4 linked regions of the Schizosaccharomyces pombe genome follow. Changing the gene in region 1 together with any one later gene gives a genetic interaction. Each region holds a gene or a part of one and is shown in the gene's direction. Other genes may lie near its edges.

Region 1 (4,000 bases):
TTAGGTGCGCCTTAAGGAAAATCTCGTAAATTCCGGCACGCTCATCGTTATAGGGATTATCTTTCCTAGACATTGCATTTTTAGCTGTCTCAATGTCAATTAGTTGCCAAGATCCCTCATCTTCCTTGACACCATGATTAACATCACTAGGTAAACTTGCTTCACCGTTGGAATTTGTTTCACTTTTCTCAGCAAAAAGTGGTAAGCGCTCATTTGAAGTTTGGGCTTTTTTTTGTGAAAATCCTTGAGAATTTGTAAAAAGTTTTGGCTCCCAACCCTCAGGTATTGTAGGAGGAGGAAACCAATTATTTTGAAAAGGTGATTGTAAATTAAATACCACTACAAATCCTGGAAGGGGAGGTAGACCATCTGAGCAATTTTGCGATTTGATTATGCTTTTCCCTTTGCTTCTGTCTTTTTTTGACAGAAAGGTATGCTTAACGGGTGTAAATGGAGAAGCGACTTTTTTTGTAATGTTGATAGATTTATCATACCGCATTTTTGGAGCACCGAGGTCGTATATATCTTGATCTTCTATCCCATCATCATTTAAAACACCTGATCCAAATCCACCGCGCAGATTTTTTGCCATTCCAACTGGTTTTCTTTCCAGCTGAAAAACATCGTCCGCTTGATACCCGATACCGTGATAAGCTTGGTTGGTTAACTTAGTGTCATCATAATACCCTTGAAATGGAGATATAACAAAATCATGACCGTTCCATCCAAGATTTTTTAACATTTTTTCGCCAATGCTATCGTCCCTATTTGAGAATTCTCTAAGTAGAGGATCATCAATTGGTATAGATGTATCAATCGTATTTATTTTCGAAGTATAAACTTTACTAAGCTCTTGGTCAGCACGATCTTCCTCGTCCATAATATCGTCAATAGTCATTCCATGCACACTTTTGTTTTCATTCCTTGAACTTTTCCAAGATTTAGGTTGCCAACCCTCTTTTGAACCAACCGTATTAAAATAGCCAGCAGAAAATCCACCAGTAAATGCACCATGAAATCTCTTTCTATTACGCTCATCCCTGGCTTCTTGTTTCCAAACAGGAACTCCTTGATTAATTCTGGACGGCTCAAGATCAAAAGGGGAGCCATAAACTACATAAGGGTGCCGATGAACATCGACATTGCTTCTTTTTCTTGAATTGGCATACATTTTAAAACAAGAAGTAATCGTGATCCGTAGTTAAACTGAAAAAAAAAAAATTCAAAATTCAAAATTTAAGGCATATTTTAGGATACTATAAGCCCATTATTTTTGAGGCGACAAGAATACTATGTTGAGCAACTTTTAATTTTTAATAAAGCCAGATAACTTATCAAAGAATTCTGATTTGTTGACAAAAGCAATTACAATACTCAATTTTTAAACAGTTGCCCTTGCTTCGAATTTCAGCTGCCTCCGTAGTGCAATCTGCGAGCGTTAGGGTACGTTATTTATCTATTACCTAATTCTTTGTACAGTTGAAGTTTCATGAGATGAAAAATGTATCATGTATATTTTGTCTGTTATTGAGAAATCTCAACAAAGTTCTATTTAGTATTACTTCATGTTGAACCAAGCATTCATAAACTAAGAAATTTGTTGGTAGCTGGTAAACTGAGCGAATTATCGTCGGTTGATTGGTAAAACATCATTTCTTATACTTCGTTTGCTCAACCATACTACGAATTTTAATGCCTAACAATTAATGAGCAATACACATTTGGATATGCTGCTTATATAATTTCACATATCTTGATAACTTAATTATCAATTAAGGAATGGTGGTTAGGCAAGTATGTGTATCATTACGTGGGGTTTTTCATAGATGTATGGTTTGAAGATGTTAAAAAAATAAGTGTAAGCGGTTACTATGCTAATGTTCTATAAAAACCAATGTTCATATAAATATTCGTCGATTGCGGGGCTTCTTCTCATAAGGATTATAATTACTAAACATAGAGGTATTGGCAGGTCAGTTGTAATTCGCGTACAACATCTTCGACTCACCACTTCTATAGTGGTACATAAATTACCGTTTCTTTCTGCGAAAAAGTGGGTTAGAAGTTCGTGCTATTACTTCTAAATAATCGTGAGAATTTAATTCAATCGTAGGATACAAAGCTGTTCATTATATAAAACTATCAACTTTCGAATATTCTATGGTGTGGATATAATTTTCATTTATCTTTATGAGTAAAAACTATACATATCATATTTACAATTAAAAATCTTCTTTCTTTCTACTATATGGATGGATATTTCGAATTATGTTGACAATTTCTACTTTGATGAGAAAATTGCTTCAGCATTTGAATTAGGTAAGCGTTTAGTAGTTCAATAAGCTTGCACATAAAAAAAAAATATTGGGTTTTTGTACCGGGATCTTAAAAGACGGAATTACTGACAGCTTTAGGAGAAGTAAGCACGGTTGATTTGTTAACGCTGGATATTACTGAGCTAGAAAGACGCACACATTGTAGTCAAAGTGAGTTATTACAGTTAATTGAGCAGATATCCCTCCTTCTTCAACCAGTAAGATGTTCTGCTTCCAAAGTCACTTCGAAATATTTGACAACTGGCGATGTAAAGTTGGATGAAACTCTACATGGAGGTATACCAGTAGGACAGTTAACTGAAATATGTGGTGAAAGCGGTTCAGGGAAGTCACAGTTTTGTATGCAGCTTTGTTTAATGGTTCAACTACCTCTCAGTTTAGGAGGAATGAACAAAGCAGCTGTCTTCATTTCTACAGAGTCCGGTCTTGAAACAAAACGATTATTTGAACTGGCGCGTTATTTACCAGAAAGGTATCCCAAAGCTGATAAGAAAGACATAATTATAAAAAATCCAGGAGATAGGGTGTATACTATATTATGCCCAGATCTGGAATCTCAAGAACATATCATTCAGTATCAACTGCCGATTTTATTCAATCGGGATAAAATTGGGTTGGTTATATTGGATAGTGTCGCCTCCAACTACAGAGCTGAGCTCCGTTACAACCGATCCAAAAGTCATTTTAGAGATTTAGATAATATTGCCAAACGTGGAAATCAATTGGGAAAGTTAGCTATGACTCTACGCACTTTAGCTCATCAACATGAAGCTGCTGTTGTCATAGCTAACCAAGTTAGCGATAGAATTCCTAGAGATTATGATGCTATTGGGTTGTTTAGTTTAGATTATCAATCGCAATGGTTTTCGGGATGGGATGACACAGATCCAAATCCCAAAATACCATCTCTTGGTCTCGTTTGGACTAATAACATCAGTACGAGATTAGCATTAATTAAGAAAACCGACTCTGCCACCAATAATTCGGGGAGAATCTTTCGGGTTGTTTATTCACCAAATTCTCCAAGGCTTGACGTACGAATATGCATAGGATCGGTTGGGATATATTCGTGCTAGCATTTTTGTAAAAATTTTATATATAATATAATAAAACCGGTTTATGAATTGCCCTAACTTTGTTTAATCGACTGTCGCTTATCAATCATTCGCAGAAAGAAAAGTAATGCTTTGAGTAACTGTTACATATATAAGTGTACTTATTTATCTTTATATTTATATTACCTCTGTCACTATTAAATATATATTTTGTTGATCTATGATGGTAGTGCATTTTTATTAGAATCCGACATACTTTAGTGGACTGAATTTTGGATATACCAGTTGGGTATTGAAATGGAAAAAAATACAATAAAAAGTTTTACACGTAACAAAGAATGCCCAAAGAGCTCTCTTAACCGACGAATGGCTTTTTCTACCTGTTTTTACTATTGCGCGTAAAAGATTTTGTAAGACCTTTCCGATAGCTTCCGCTATTGGCGATCCTTTAGAAATTTGCACCTAACATTTTTACCAAAAGCCAAGTATGCATTGGTGATATCTTGTAAATAAAAAATGAACATTCTTTTATAACATAATCGTTACAAAAATAGAACACAAAAATGTCAGTTCCAATTGATCGAATCAATACGGTTGACACTTTAGCCA
Region 2 (6,263 bases), 2.0 Mb from region 1:
GTTTTGTTCGCACTTTAATGAAATTGTACTATATGATTGACATACTACAAATGCATACCAACGCTAACAGCGTCCTGATGAAAAATCATTTTTTGAGTGCACAAAAAATAAATAGAAGTTTTCCATCCCTGCAGTGCCGCGATTCGACATGTAACTTGAAAATGGCAAATAGTCAGTTACCACTAGAACAATATATTCAGCTATGAACTAAACTTGTAGTATACGGATACCAAAAATAGAAGTAATTTGTCAAACAAGAATAAAAACTTTTCTAACTAAAAAACTAATTTAACAAACAAAAAAGCTTCACACCAATTATCAAGACTTAAGATTCAATAAATTGTCTTAAAACCAAAAAAGCAGTCACGGTCAGTTTGTTAGGGACATTGAAACAACGAAGGCTTCTCCTACACCATACCGCAATGGCAGTTGGTAAAAATAAAAGACTTTCAAAGGGAAAGAAAGGAATTAAGAAGCGTGTCGTTGACCCCTTCTCTCGTAAGGACTGGTACGATATCAAGGCTCCTGCTTTCTTTGAAGTCAAGAACGTTGGTAAAACCCTTGTCAACCGTACAGCCGGTTTAAAGAATGCCAATGATTCTTTGAAGGGTCGTATCTTGGAAGTCTCTCTTGCTGATCTTCAAAAGGATGAGGAACACTCATTCCGTAAGGTCAAGCTTCGTGTTGAGGACATCCAAGGTAAGAGCTGCCTCACCAGCTTTAACGGTTTCGATATGACCTCTGACAAATTGCGTTCTTTGGTTCGCAAATGGCAATCTACTATTGAGGCCAACCAAACCATCAAGACCACCGATGGTTACCTTTGCCGTATCTTCGTTATTGGCTTTACTAGCCGTCGTGTCAACCAAGTCAAGAAGACTACTTATGCTCAATCTTCTCAAATTCGTGCCATTCACCAAAAGATGTTCCAGGTCATCCAAAACCAAGCCAACGGTTGTTCCATGAAGGAGCTTGTCCAAAAGCTCATTCCTGAGGTTATTGGCCGGGCTATCGAGAAGGCCACCAACAACATTTATCCCTTGCAAAACGTTTTCGTTCGTAAGGTAAAGATCTTGAAGGCTCCCAAGCACGACGCCCAAAAGCTTCTTGAATTACACGGTGAGTCTCAAGACGTTGGTTCCAAGGTCATTTCTGATGTTGCTCCTTTGGAGTCTGTTTAAATTTAATAAAATTATGTGATCTTGCCGGTGTATTATATGAATTAAGGGCCTAGTTTATAGTGTCTAATTTACTCTTCTAGCAGGAAATTTAAAAGTATATTTTTATAATAACGTTGGCACATTTTAAGTAATTTGTAAACTTATATCTGCACAAAATAATCACCTTAAATTAAGAGAGTCATGTGCGTTTACTTTCATTTTTCTCCTTTTAGAAAATGCATATCATATTACATTGTTGTTATTCAATTTACTGAGGTTTACTATAGTGCATTAAATAAGAATAGATTAAAATGGTAATTTCGCGTTTTTCCAGTTCCTCCAAGATTTAGCCAGCGAGCTATTTCTATAATTATTAGATTTTCCTCCCCAAATATTCAACTTTTTTAGAGTCTCCTTTCATCATTTATAATCCTATTAGAATATTTAAATTAAAAGAATTCAAATGTTTGCTCATTAGAGAAGTTGGATCTACTAGTTAACGGACTTGGTGAATTGTTTAAAAAGTTGTTAAATTTGTTTATATCAAGCAATTTTTAAAAGTTATTTTTGGTTGTCAAATTATACATGTTATTTTATATTTCTACAGTTTTTGGTAGCTTAAAGTTTGGATAAGCAAACATTACCAAGAAACTCAATAAAATGAAAAGAAAGGTACAAAAAATTATAGATGAAGCCCCTTTAGAAGAAAATTCTCCTCCTCGATTTTTTGATTCAGATGTTGAAGCTGACTCTAAACCGAATGATTTAACTGCTGCGAATTCCATCGTAGACTTAAAAACAAATTCTCAACATGAAAATGCTAACGCAGCAGGCAAGGAATATGGAGATAGTGGAGTTTCAGAGTCATGGGTTTTAGACTTTTTATCTGTCACTGGTGAAAAAACAATTTCGGAATTTTTAGCTCAAAAAATTTGGAAAACCTCGAATGGAGATTTGAATGTCGCCGTTGATATGTATTTTGATGAATCCTTTAATATAAAGAATTCGAATCCTGACAGTGAAAGTCAGAAAGACACTGATGCCTCGTTGACCCAGATGGACCAATTATCTAATACTGTATCCGTTAAGGATCTTAGTATTAATAGGAACACAAATAAAAAAGCCTTAAATGCTGTTAGCCCTTCATTGAATTTGTCATCTAACAGTTCTGTTCAAGATGTATCTATTGATAAAGAAGAAATGATGAAGAAGCAATCACGGAATGCTCTTACTCCGCTGGACTTTATTATGAAGAAGAATGAGTTGATGAAGTATATCGGATGCTTTGGTGTGGAGGCTTATTCAACTGCATCAGGTACTCGAACACTCCAGGCTGGCGAAAGGATCTATTTAGAACGTCAAAAACTTTCCATAAAATCACAATCGAGAAATTCTAGGAAAAAATCAAAATTGCTAAGCATTAATTCTTCATGCTATAGCAATATCGTTAGATTTTGTAATTCAGATCATCATGAAATTGGTAAATTACCTACTGAAGTCGCTTCTGTTATTTCAACGTTGATGGAGCAAGGTTTTTGGTCATTTGAAGCCATATGCATTTACTCCGACAATATAATTAGATTTGGGAGTAATGTCACTTTACAAGTTTATTGTTTTATCAATGTCAATCATCCGTCCTTGAACCGATCTCCATTCACTTTGGCAACTAATTCTATGCAAGAAGAGGAAGAACATTTAAAAGCCTCTTTTGCTCAAAATAAACGTGATCATTTACTTCGTTTGTTTACTTGGATAGCTTTGGAACCAGACCTTGAAGACTGCAACACTAAAGAGAGTATTCATATTGATGATATATTGAAAACAAGTTCATTGCCTGAAGCGAGGGACGAGAGTAACTCAGATCTAACCCCATCCTCAACTGAAGACGAGGAAGATGTTGTTAGCGACCAACTTGCTATATTATATGACAAAGTTAAAACTTCTGGAGCTGAATTGCCGTCTGCTCCAAAGCCATCAACGTTTGCTCTTGATCTTCGTGAGTATCAAAAACAGGCTTTGTATTGGATGTGTTGTAAAGAAGAGGGCGTACAAAGTGATGGTAGTGCACCTAAGCTTCATCCTTTGTGGAGTCGATTTCGATTTCCAAAGGACTCAGAATTCCCTGAATTCTTTAAATGTTCTAGTGATGATGACAACACACATTTTTACGTTAACTTATATACTGGCGAAACTACAATGTTGTTTCCGAATTCAATGCCTTATCATCGGGGTGGAATTTTAGCAGACGAAATGGGCTTAGGCAAAACGATTGAAGTATTATCACTTATTCATTCTAGACCTTGCTTTTCAACCGATGAAATACCAGAAGCCTTTAGACATTCTAAACCCAGCCTTCCTGTCGCCAGTAGGACGACTTTGGTAGTAGCACCTATGTCATTGTTAGATCAATGGCACTCCGAAGCTTGTAAGGTGTCTCAAGGCACCAAATTCAGAAGCATGATTTATTATGGTTCTGAAAAGCCTTTGGATCTGAAGTCTTGTGTTATTGATACATCCACAGCTCCCTTGATCATCATAACTAGTTATGGTGTGTTACTTTCAGAATTTAGTCAGCAATCTCATTCTTCGGGATTGTTTTCTGTGCATTGGTTCCGTGTTGTCCTTGATGAAGGACATAACATTAGAAATAGGGAAAGCAAAACCGCGAAAGCGTGTCATAGTATTTCGTCCCAGAATCGTTGGGTGATTACAGGTACGCCAATAGTCAATAAACTGGATGACTTGTATAGCTTGATTAAATTTATGCGATATGAGCCGTGGTGTAATTACACTTATTGGCAAACCTTTGTGAGTCTGCCATATCAGTCAAAAGATGTCTTAAAGGCGTTGAATGTTGTTCAATCAATTTTGGAGTTTTTAGTTTTGAGAAGAACCAAAGAAACTAAAGATAGAAACGGAAACTCAATTGTTACGTTACCTCCAAAAACCGTAAAAATTGAATATTTGGACTTTTCTGACTCAGAAAGGAAAATTTATGACTCTCTCTATACCAAAGCAAAAAGTACCGTTAATGCAAACATAGTTGCCGGAACGCTGTTCAGAAACTATACAACGATCCTCGGATTACTTTTAAGATTAAGACAGGCGTGTTGTGACCCTGTGCTTCTTTCCAATATGACCATTAACAGTGAAACGTTTGATGATTTTGAGTTTTCGGTTGAGCAATTTAATTCTTTAATTAATCAATTTGTTGTCACTGGAAAGCCCATTCCTTCAGATATTTTAAAAATTGATACACTGAAGTCTTTTGAAGCATTGATAACGGAATGTCCCATATGTTGTAATGAACCAATTCAAAATCCCTTGTTATTGAACTGCAAGCATGCTTGTTGCGGAGATTGTTTGTCAGAACATATTCAGTATCAAAAAAGAAGAAACATAATTCCTCCGCTTTGTCATACATGTCGTCAACCCTTCAATGAGCAAGATGTCTATAAACCTTTTTTTGTCAAAAATAACGGAACACAGTCTACGCTTTTAGTCGGTGAGGAAGTAAAATGGAAATATTGGAATAGGCTACAATCAGTGAAACTTAATGGCCTTTTAGGACAATTGCGTCAATTAACTCATAGTTCTGAACCTGAAAAGGTCGTTATCTTTTCACAGTTTACCACATTCCTGGATATTATCGCAGACGTTCTCGAGTCAGAGAAGATGGGGTATGCTAGATTCGATGGTACCATGTCACAACAAATGAGGTCGACGGCTTTAGAGACATTTCGAAATGATCCTGATGTTAACGTGCTGATTATCTCTTTAAAGGCAGGCGGGGTTGGTTTAAACCTTACTTGTGCCAACCATGTTTTTATTATGGATCCATGGTGGAGCTGGTCAGTGGAAGCACAGGCCATCGATCGTATTCATCGTTTAGGACAGGAAAAGCCTGTATTTGTGACGAGATATATTGTACGTGATACTGTTGAGGAAAGGATGCTCAAAATACAAGAACGCAAAAATTTTATTACTGGGACCCTGGGCATGTCGGAAGGAAAGCAGCAGGTTCAGTCAATTGAAGACATCAAAATGTTGTTTGAATATTAACAACGGTTTCACCAAGCCGATTAAAAGCTATCGTAAAAAAAAAGTATTTTCATATTATGCATATGAAATGCAATTGCTACCGTGGTCGTTGTCATGACTGTCAAATTCTAAGAGAGTATGTGATAAACAAACTGCGTTACAAGATAAATTATAAACTATCTACACCCCTTGGATTTGTTGATTCACGTCTATCACTAATGAATGCGAAATAGTCGAATTCGGTGCATAAGTAACAAAAGTATTAAGGAACGACAGTTTACCCTGGAGCTATACAATCTAAAGTAGTGAATGTGTAATACTTTATTCCATTTTTTGAACTCATAAATTTCCTTGGATGACTTACTTTTTTGTATTCATGATGTTGTTGCTGAGTATCATGGGCAAGGGAATATAAGTTTTAGCTGCTGCAGTGTAAAGGCTGGCTAATGTTTTGTTCAGTATATTAGAGATAGGTATAATTGTTAACTTTTATTCGATTTTTTTATTATTGTTAACCTTGTTAAATAGTAGTAGCGATTGTGATGGAAATCCGGTCACAGAAAGAAAGCGATGTGTATAATTCAACTATATTGGTCAGCCTCTCTCTTTGTTGAAAAGTCGAAGTAGTTGTTTAATAAGGTCAAGATATTTTGATGAAATCAGTGACACAAAATTAAATCCGAATATTTTAGCTAAGTTTTCATTCCATAAATTTCATTTTTCTAATAGCTACCCGTAGAAAGTTTTATAAGCAAGTAACGTGCCGGTTGCTGGGTTATAAAAATTTAGGCAAGGTTACGGTTGTCTCTACCATCGGCAAAGGAGCCGACGTTAATAAAATATTTAACAAAGCCTTTAAAAAATTAACGATAGCTAGTCAAAGGAAGCTTAACGCGTATTCAGCCTCATTAAGACAATCAGGAAGCTTTTTTTTACCATCAGCATATACCTCTAACCCTTTGATTTATTTTTATATCTCGAGATTTCGTTCGTTATTTTATAGGTCGTTTCGATAAGACCTTAATACAATCTGATTTAGTGGTTGTTTAAGATTTCGGAAAA
Region 3 (4,673 bases), on another chromosome or scaffold:
GTCTTGTTTCAATTGAAACAATTATATGCTATACGGAGGATTATTTGATTGCAATTGGATATTATAAAAGGAATTTATCGAAAGGAGAATTCGAATAGGCTAATAACTCGTCATTTTTATATACCTGCATACAGACGAACTCAACAAATATTAATTCATGGCAGGCGGCCACAAGAAAAATGAAGCTACAAGGCAGACTGATGAAGTTATTCAACAAAAATACGATGAATCATTAAGCAAGGTATGTCAATTACGCAAACACAATTAGGTAACATCTCGACGATACAAATAGAATCGTCGATGAATAATTTTGGTTTAGCATAAAAATCGTTGCGAATTGTCATTAACTTTTGAATACAAGTTATCAAACAAACTTAGGGCTCGTTTGAAGGCAGCGTTTTTTAAGGTCGATCATGGATGGGAAGATCAGACATTAGATCAAGTGGAAACGCTTGTTCGTAAGGAAAATCACGTTCATCGTAGATCACGCTCGATCAATGACTTGGACTCTTCTAAGCTAAGAAGGCCGCATCACCCCAACTCAATTATGGGATCGAATACAGGCAAGCTGCGTGCAAGTTCATTTACGCGATTGGTGAGCCCAAGAGAGGGCTTCGCTCAGCTTCCTTATAAGAAGCCTGTATCTCCTTACTCATCTTCTAGTGCTGTTTCTTCTACGTCCTCGTCTTTTGATAGAACTAGTCCTCCTTGGTTGAACTACGTTGAGCCTCATACTGAGCTACCCAGACTGCCATTTGAACTTAGCCATGCCTCCACTGCTTCAGCTAAATCTCCACTGTTCGGAATGAATTACCATATTTCACGCCCTGAAGAAACCGATGAGTCTCTTCGCCTTGGCACTGCAAACCTCAGTAGAATTCGCAAGTCCACGAGTCTTCCTTTTCCAACGGCTTATCCCCTATCGGCAGATGATTGCAAGGCAGCTGAAGTTATGCTTACGTTGGTGAATTCTATGCCTTCGAAAAAACCATAACATCCTTCATTTTAGATGGTATACGAGCATTAAGATATAAAATTACATAATTATTTCATGAGAGTTAATCTATAATTTGGATGAATAGATTGATTGTTCACATCCTGCTGAAGAATTTTTGGAAAAATCTCGTTTGAGAAGTTTTGTTATTTCTTGCTATCCGTCTCCAGTCCTATGGTTGATGAGCTATTAACCCTCTATATGTTTAAATGCTTGATATGTACAAGCCAAATTGTGATAATGCTTAATGATGTTTATGACAAAGGGTGAATGTTTCCGGGCGTACAACAGTCTTAAAGATCATAGAAACATTATTTACCATGTATTTATTAACGTTCTTCCTACATCTTGATCCTTATGATTTGAAATGATTATTATATAAGATAATGGAAATTCGCGAACTCGCAAAATTATGCATTCATTTCGAAGTATGGCTCGAGACAAAGCTATTTTTAAGTTTCTAAGAAAATAAAATAAATAAATAAATAAAAATAAGACCCTCCCATGAGCCTCATTACAAACTCTATTTTTTCTCAATCTCCATACGTTCAGGATCAATCTTCTATTTAAAGCCTTACTAAACGTCTTAATTACTTACATTTTTATTCTTTACCAAACAAACTCCTTTGTTAGCATGGTTGAGATTATATTCTCTCATTGCTCCTCTATACTTATGTCTTAGAAGTACCAGCAACAGTTTTGACGACCAAAACTACCTATATCGAGTGAGCCGCGCTTCAAAAAGTGTTTCGACAGTTTTATGAGGGAGTTGTTTAATAGGAGATTTTTTTATTAATTTATTAATTGATTGACCTTTTTAAGGGCGATAGAAAACGAATGCTGGCCTCTAATTCTGATGGTGCATCTACTTCTGTAAAACCATCCGATGATGCTGTAAACACGGTAACTCCATGGTCTATTCTTTTGACAAACAATAAACCAATGTCTGGAAGTGAAAATACATTAAATAACGAATCCCATGAAATGTCGCAAATCTTGAAAAAATCTGGATTATGCTATGATCCTCGAATGAGATTCCATGCCACTCTAAGTGAAGTGGATGACCATCCTGAAGATCCAAGACGCGTCCTTCGTGTTTTTGAAGCTATAAAGAAGGCCGGTTATGTATCTAATGTGCCGAGTCCGTCAGATGTATTTTTACGGATTCCGGCTAGAGAAGCTACTTTAGAAGAGTTATTACAAGTTCATTCACAGGAAATGTATGATAGGGTTACTAATACCGAAAAAATGTCTCATGAGGATTTGGCCAATCTCGAAAAAATCAGTGATTCTCTATACTATAATAACGAAAGTGCGTTTTGTGCTCGATTGGCTTGTGGTAGCGCAATTGAAACATGTACGGCTGTCGTAACTGGTCAAGTAAAAAATGCCTTCGCAGTTGTTCGCCCTCCTGGCCATCATGCAGAACCCCATAAACCTGGTGGCTTTTGTTTATTCAACAATGTTTCTGTAACCGCAAGGAGTATGCTACAACGCTTTCCGGATAAAATAAAAAGAGTATTGATTGTCGACTGGGATATACACCATGGAAATGGTACGCAAATGGCTTTTTATGACGATCCAAATGTTCTATACGTTTCTTTGCATCGATATGAAAATGGTCGTTTCTATCCTGGCACCAATTATGGGTGTGCAGAAAATTGTGGAGAGGGCCCGGGATTGGGTAGAACTGTAAATATTCCTTGGAGTTGTGCTGGCATGGGAGATGGTGATTATATATACGCTTTTCAGCGCGTCGTAATGCCTGTTGCTTATGAATTTGATCCAGATTTAGTTATTGTAAGTTGCGGCTTTGATGCTGCTGCAGGAGATCACATTGGTCAATTCTTGTTAACTCCAGCTGCCTATGCTCATATGACACAAATGTTAATGGGATTAGCAGATGGGAAAGTTTTTATCTCCCTTGAGGGAGGTTATAATTTGGATTCTATAAGCACATCAGCCTTAGCTGTAGCCCAAAGTTTGTTGGGAATTCCTCCTGGACGATTGCATACAACATATGCATGTCCACAGGCCGTTGCTACCATCAACCATGTAACCAAAATACAATCCCAATACTGGAGATGTATGAGGCCGAAACACTTCGACGCAAATCCTAAGGATGCCCATGTAGATCGATTACATGATGTTATTCGAACTTATCAAGCTAAAAAACTTTTCGAAGACTGGAAAATTACCAATATGCCAATACTAAGGGATTCCGTTTCCAATGTATTCAACAATCAAGTACTGTGCTCTAGCAATTTCTTTCAAAAAGATAACCTTCTCGTTATTGTCCATGAATCTCCTAGAGTCCTGGGTAATGGAACTAGTGAAACGAACGTTTTGAATTTAAATGATTCGCTTTTAGTAGATCCCGTGAGCCTTTATGTTGAATGGGCTATGCAACAGGACTGGGGGCTTATCGACATAAATATACCTGAAGTGGTTACGGACGGTGAAAATGCACCGGTTGACATTCTTTCTGAAGTGAAAGAACTTTGTCTTTATGTATGGGATAATTATGTTGAGTTGTCGATTTCAAAAAATATTTTTTTCATCGGTGGAGGCAAAGCGGTACATGGATTGGTTAATTTGGCATCTTCCAGGAATGTGTCAGACAGAGTTAAGTGTATGGTGAATTTCCTTGGCACTGAACCTTTGGTGGGTCTTAAAACGGCATCAGAGGAAGATCTTCCAACGTGGTATTATCGTCATTCACTCGTGTTTGTGAGTTCTAGTAATGAGTGCTGGAAAAAGGCAAAGCGTGCTAAAAGAAGATATGGACGACTTATGCAAAGTGAACATACTGAAACTTCGGACATGATGGAGCAACACTATCGAGCGGTTACTCAATACTTGCTGCATTTGCTTCAAAAGGCCCGACCAACTTCTCAGTAACATTCGTTATTGACTTATGATTTTTTCATGGTTTTCTATTCTTTTAATTGTCACACATTTAACCTCCTTAAGTTATCTACGTTAAAATTTATAACGGACATTCATGATTTGCCAAACCCGCTGAATGATTCGTACTCAATCTGCTAAGCTGCTTTGTCTCTTTTACTTATACTTTAATTCGAGCTCATTATTCTCAAGGTTGGTGGATTTTGACTTTATTTTCCAGTAGAATGTATACACAAATGGTTTATTGTTATTGCTGGCTTCATTTTATTCATGTTCAATATAATTAAATAAATAAGGTTATAATATTGTTTTATAAAATAAAGCTCCTCAAATCCGTGATATTATTTTAGTTCAAACAACTATTGTTGATTTTTGTCGTAATTTTGCTTAAAAGCATTTCTCTAAAGCTGAGGGAAATCCCTCATCCATTTTTTGTACCGCAAAAGGATAATATTATAGTATGTTGTTTAAATTGTAAAATTAGATTCATAGTACAAACAGCATTTAAATTGTTTTCTTATTCTCCAATATTAATAACTATATCACACAAAAAAATTGATTTGGTTGTATGGTGTAATGGTTAGCACGTGAGATTCTGATTCTCGAGACCTGGGTTCGATTCCCAGTACGACCTTCATGAATGATGGATGATTCTGTGATGTTCAACTTTTTTAACTAATCCAAATTGCATGAATGATAACCGGTCAACAGTAATTGTAAATGTAGCAACTTTACTATTAAGGAAGGCTGGCTTTTTTTTTTTTTAATAAAA
Region 4 (3,884 bases), on another chromosome or scaffold:
CCAATTCTGGAATGTGCTCAACAGACTTTGCATAATCTAATAAACTATACTGTTTATCGAGATGAACCAAATGTGGAAATAAATAGCCTACAATTTCTAGGTGATGCATGATAAAAAGCCAGTTTTGAGCTGTACGACTAGGTGCTGTGTTTAACAACTTAATAGTGTTTAGGTCATAAGTTGTTAATTCACGATCCACAGACAAAAACGTTTCAGCAGTTGAAGTTTGAACGCAAACAAGGTCAGGGAAACGTTGTACGCAGTGGAAACTAGATATTGGCATAACCAGCAACTTCGGATGACCGATTTTTGAAAAAATAACTTGCTTCTTCCAAAGGGCAAGGTTGGGGTCTAACTCTAAACTAGCAGAAAACTCCGCTAAGTACTTCCAGAGTAGATCTTGTTGTTGATGAGGAAATGAATCGAAATGATCTAGTTCACAAAGGAATTTGCATGGGTTGCTGAGAAGCTCGTTTGTATAATTAGTTTTTTCCTCTTCAGACCAAAAGAAATCAGCTTCCCTTGTCTTTGCTAAGGAGCTTAGCATGATATACCGCTGCTTATGTGCTTCTTTGGGTAAGATCAATGAAATAAGTTTTGTGCTGAAGTAGGATAATTCCCTAATGCTAATGGAATTTTGTTCTTCCTTTTCATTTTCATTTTCAGGATCGTTCAGTTGAATGAAAGATTGCCCAGTATGTTCACTGTCGAAACATAGTAGCAATCGGAGTAAACGTTCTTCTCTACAGCAACGAAAATCCCAACGTGACGAGACCCCTTTAAATTGAAGGACACTAAGTTCCTTTTCTGTATGTTCATAATTGCGTAATTGCAGGATATCGCTTTCATCAAACATAAAGCAATACTCCGCTCTTAACGTGTGTCCAATAACTAGGTTTTCATCATTAGCCAGCAACCCGTATTCATCCAAAATTTGCTTTCTTTCAAATTCATTACCCAGAGAATAGTATGGAGTTCCCAAATCAGTCATAAAGGTCAAGTTGTCATGAGGTTCCGTTCCTTCATTTTCCTCAATACTCTCTAAAGTCGGCACTTTCTTTTGACATTTACTCTTCTTGAACTCTAGAAGGTATTGAGAATATCCGGCGGGATCATCATTTTGTTCTTTTTCGGAAATTTCAACTGTTTCTACTTTTTGATTTGACAATTCTCCATTGTCAACATAAACAGATTCTGTTTCAACAGGATCACTATCAGGAGATAGGCGCTCTTTTCTATTTTCTTCATCGACTGATGAAATGGCTCGAAGGGCCAGAACACGCGGTCCATCTGGAAGACGTTTCTCATGTTTAACGACAAAGCCAGAGTTGGGAGATCCCATCAAAAACTTCCTAACAGAAATCAAAAATTTAGGATCATATCCATCAGTATTTGTTTCCAAGTCGGTTAATACCAAGTTGCTATTGACCTCCTCAGAGCTTCCAATAACCTTCAAAAGTGGAACATATGATGGAGAAGGCGCTAGTGTCTGTAATGAATCCTGCGAGTCATCATGCTCATTAGAAAATCCCAAGTCGGTTGCTTTAACCCCTAATTTATGAAAAATTTTCTTGGCAAGTGCTCCCATTTCTTGCTGTATATTTTCTAAAGATATTTTGCTTTTAGTTGAGTCAATCGTTTCTTTTTCAGAGACATTGTCAGAAAACTCCTGCTGGACTTCCTTTTCAATGTTAGTTTCATAGATGGGATGCATAGTCGTAGTATTATCAGGGTTCGTCAACTCCATATTTACTATACTATCTGAAACAATATTCTCTCCAAAGATACTACTCATTTTGGATCTTGAGGATGCTGGCAAAAGACAAGTTGAATGTTTGTTTACTATGGATCATTTGATCATTGCAGTCTGCATTTAGTCCACTGAGGAAAGTAAACAAAACTTTAAAATTCATATTTATTACTCAACAATGATTGTATTAGTATTATCTTGAACTTACAAAAATCTCACTGTATATTGCCAATTTAACTTGTTTACTTTACGAAACATCGCTAATAATGGACGCTAGTATACCTACACCTCAGTTGCAGTTCGCCATAAATTTCACCATTGAGAGTTTCTATACTAAGAAATAATATTTTCAAAGTTTTTATGAGTATTAGATGTCATTCTTATGAACAATTTGGAACAGTATGCAGTAAACTTGTCGCGACTGTAGATAAACATTCTCTAACAAAAGAATTAGATTAGAACGATTGGAACAATCGATTACTCTAGCACTTTACGAAATTGATGCAAATTTTTCTAAATGTCATCGAACAGTGACTACCAAAATCTTGCCTATCGTGGAAAAATACGCAAAAAATTGTAACACTATATGGGACTCTTCAAAAGTATGTTCAATGGCAACTGCCACTCATGATTCAGCTTGTAATTTGTATTATTTTAAGAATTAAGCTAACAGAAAACAGTTTTGGAAGCAGTTTTTTGAAGCAAGTGCCAATGTTTCACTTTCGGGTGTAGAGGAACCTGTTCCAGTAGAATCCAATCCAAGCGATCAAGATGTTATGTCTAATTCTACAGAGGCGGACCTACAGCTGCACACAAAGAATGAACATTTGGAAAAGAGGCATTCTTTTGTCGGAAAATCTGATTTTCCCGATGCAGCTGTACAAGGAGATAATACAAAAAACGAGGATTTTGTACAGTCCACTCCTAAGAAGATGGATGTCTCCTTAGAGGATATTTCGTTAGATGATGCAGCTTTGACCCCCATCCCGGCAAGGATGCAGACTCCGCTAAGAAAACCAGAAAATAATCCTCATACAGGTCGTAGTGCCCTTCTGCATCGCGTTTTAGATACAAATTGGCAAGTACAAGTGACTCCACGTGAGCCTAAGAATTTGCAATCTCAAGAAGTAATGGATATTGATTCTTCTCCTTTTGTATCGCCTTCTCCCATATCAATGAAAATGGACATGCCTTCACTTAACGATAGAAACTCTTCGCATGCTCTTTCTTTATTTGCAGAATTTGAGCATGAAAGCTATGATAGCATTAACCCAAGTGGAATGTCTCCACCTAAAACTATCCAATTCAGCCCGCATACCATGGGGGTGGGTTCTTCTCAGCAAGCCAACGAGCGAAGCCTGTCTTTGCAGAGGAAATTAGAAACCTTGAATGATTCTAATGATAGTTTTGTCAAAGAAGAAGATAGTTGGGAACTCTGATAAAGCACTGCTGAAGTTATCACCTTCGTTTCGCCTTTAGTAGTGAACCTTACTTTCGCATTTTTTCTATTTATTTTCTAAGCACATATGTCTACTTCATAAAATCCCACCTTATATTTATGTTATATAATTTTTTATTTACTGTACGTTCTATTTAATTTGGAAAATTCTTCTTTTAAGAGAATCATAAGTCACGGTATAAATACTGTAAACCAAGTAAAATTTGTATGAAAATAATTTTAAAATAAACTAAGAAAGCAAATAACTATAAAATTTTTAAATAAATTAGTATTATAGCCTAATTAATAAATCTTTTTACAGCATATCATTGAGAATATACGTTAAGACGAATAACGAGGTTTTAAAAATTCTAAAAAAGTCTAAAGAATTTTAGTGACTTGGTTAATAATAGTTTGCCTGGTTGAGCAGACAGGTGAACTTAGTATCCACCACTCTTTTTTGTGCAAGGAAAATGGGGTTTGACGTTGCAGGCTATTTACAATCATATTCATTGAAGGACTGGATTCGAATTATCGTATATGTTGGAGGATATATGTTAATCCGGCCATATTTGATGAAGTTGGGAGCCAAGATACAGGAGAGAGAACATAGAAAATCTTTATTAGAAGGCGAAGTAGATGGTACTTTAGATCCGGAAATGACGCATGGCACGAAGCCCAAAGAACATGGAGAAT

The links.
Region 2: mutations in rad57 (region 1) and rad8 together harm fitness more than expected from each alone (negative genetic interaction), as found in Schizosaccharomyces pombe (3 studies listed by BioGRID, with this or other methods).
Region 3: mutations in rad57 (region 1) and clr3 together harm fitness more than expected from each alone (negative genetic interaction), as found in Schizosaccharomyces pombe (2 studies listed by BioGRID).
Region 4: mutations in rad57 (region 1) and ask1 together harm fitness more than expected from each alone (negative genetic interaction), as found in Schizosaccharomyces pombe (3 studies listed by BioGRID, with this or other methods).

What each region holds. Positions count from the first base shown.
Region 1 is NC_003424.3:2,121,038-2,125,037, forward strand, and holds rad57 (DNA recombination mediator, RecA family ATPase Rad57/Rhp57), read left to right. Parts: upstream 1-1,992; 5' UTR 1,993-2,252; coding exon 2,253-2,319; exon of another isoform or gene 2,320-2,414; coding exon 2,415-3,412; 3' UTR 3,413-3,469; downstream 3,470-4,000. Other genes in the region: gpl1 (Gpl1-Gih35-Wdr83 complex RNA-binding subunit), read right to left, coding at 1-1,171; whi2 (phosphatase activator), read left to right, coding at 3,955-4,000. UniProt on the Schizosaccharomyces pombe protein: Involved in recombination DNA repair and in the repair of gamma-ray-induced damage.
Region 2 is NC_003424.3:169,931-176,193, reverse strand, and holds rad8 (ATP-dependent chromatin remodeller/ubiquitin-protein ligase E3 Rad8), read left to right. Parts: upstream 1-1,501; 5' UTR 1,502-1,820; coding exon 1,821-5,222; 3' UTR 5,223-5,705; downstream 5,706-6,263. Other genes in the region: rps101 (40S ribosomal protein eS1), read left to right, coding at 423-1,181.
Region 3 is NC_003423.3:252,991-257,663, forward strand, and holds clr3 (class 2 histone deacetylase Clr3), read left to right. Parts: upstream 1-1,695; 5' UTR 1,696-1,831; coding exon 1,832-3,895; 3' UTR 3,896-4,148; downstream 4,149-4,673. Other genes in the region: cell cycle transcriptional repressor Whi5, read left to right, coding at 158-241, 320-994. UniProt on the Schizosaccharomyces pombe protein: Responsible for the deacetylation of lysine residues on the N-terminal part of the core histones (H2A, H2B, H3 and H4).
Region 4 is NC_003423.3:1,561,813-1,565,696, reverse strand, and holds ask1 (DASH complex subunit Ask1), read left to right. Parts: upstream 1-2,045; 5' UTR 2,046-2,132; coding exon 2,133-2,149; intron 2,150-2,204; coding exon 2,205-2,352; intron 2,353-2,430; coding exon 2,431-3,189; 3' UTR 3,190-3,371; downstream 3,372-3,884. Other genes in the region: protein meu25, read right to left, coding at 1-1,795; protein trafficking protein Pga2, read left to right, coding at 3,662-3,884. UniProt on the Schizosaccharomyces pombe protein: Component of the DASH complex that connects microtubules with kinetochores and couples microtubule depolymerisation to chromosome movement; it is involved in retrieving kinetochores to the spindle poles before their re-orientation on the spindle in early mitosis and allows microtubule depolymerization to pull chromosomes apart and resist detachment during anaphase.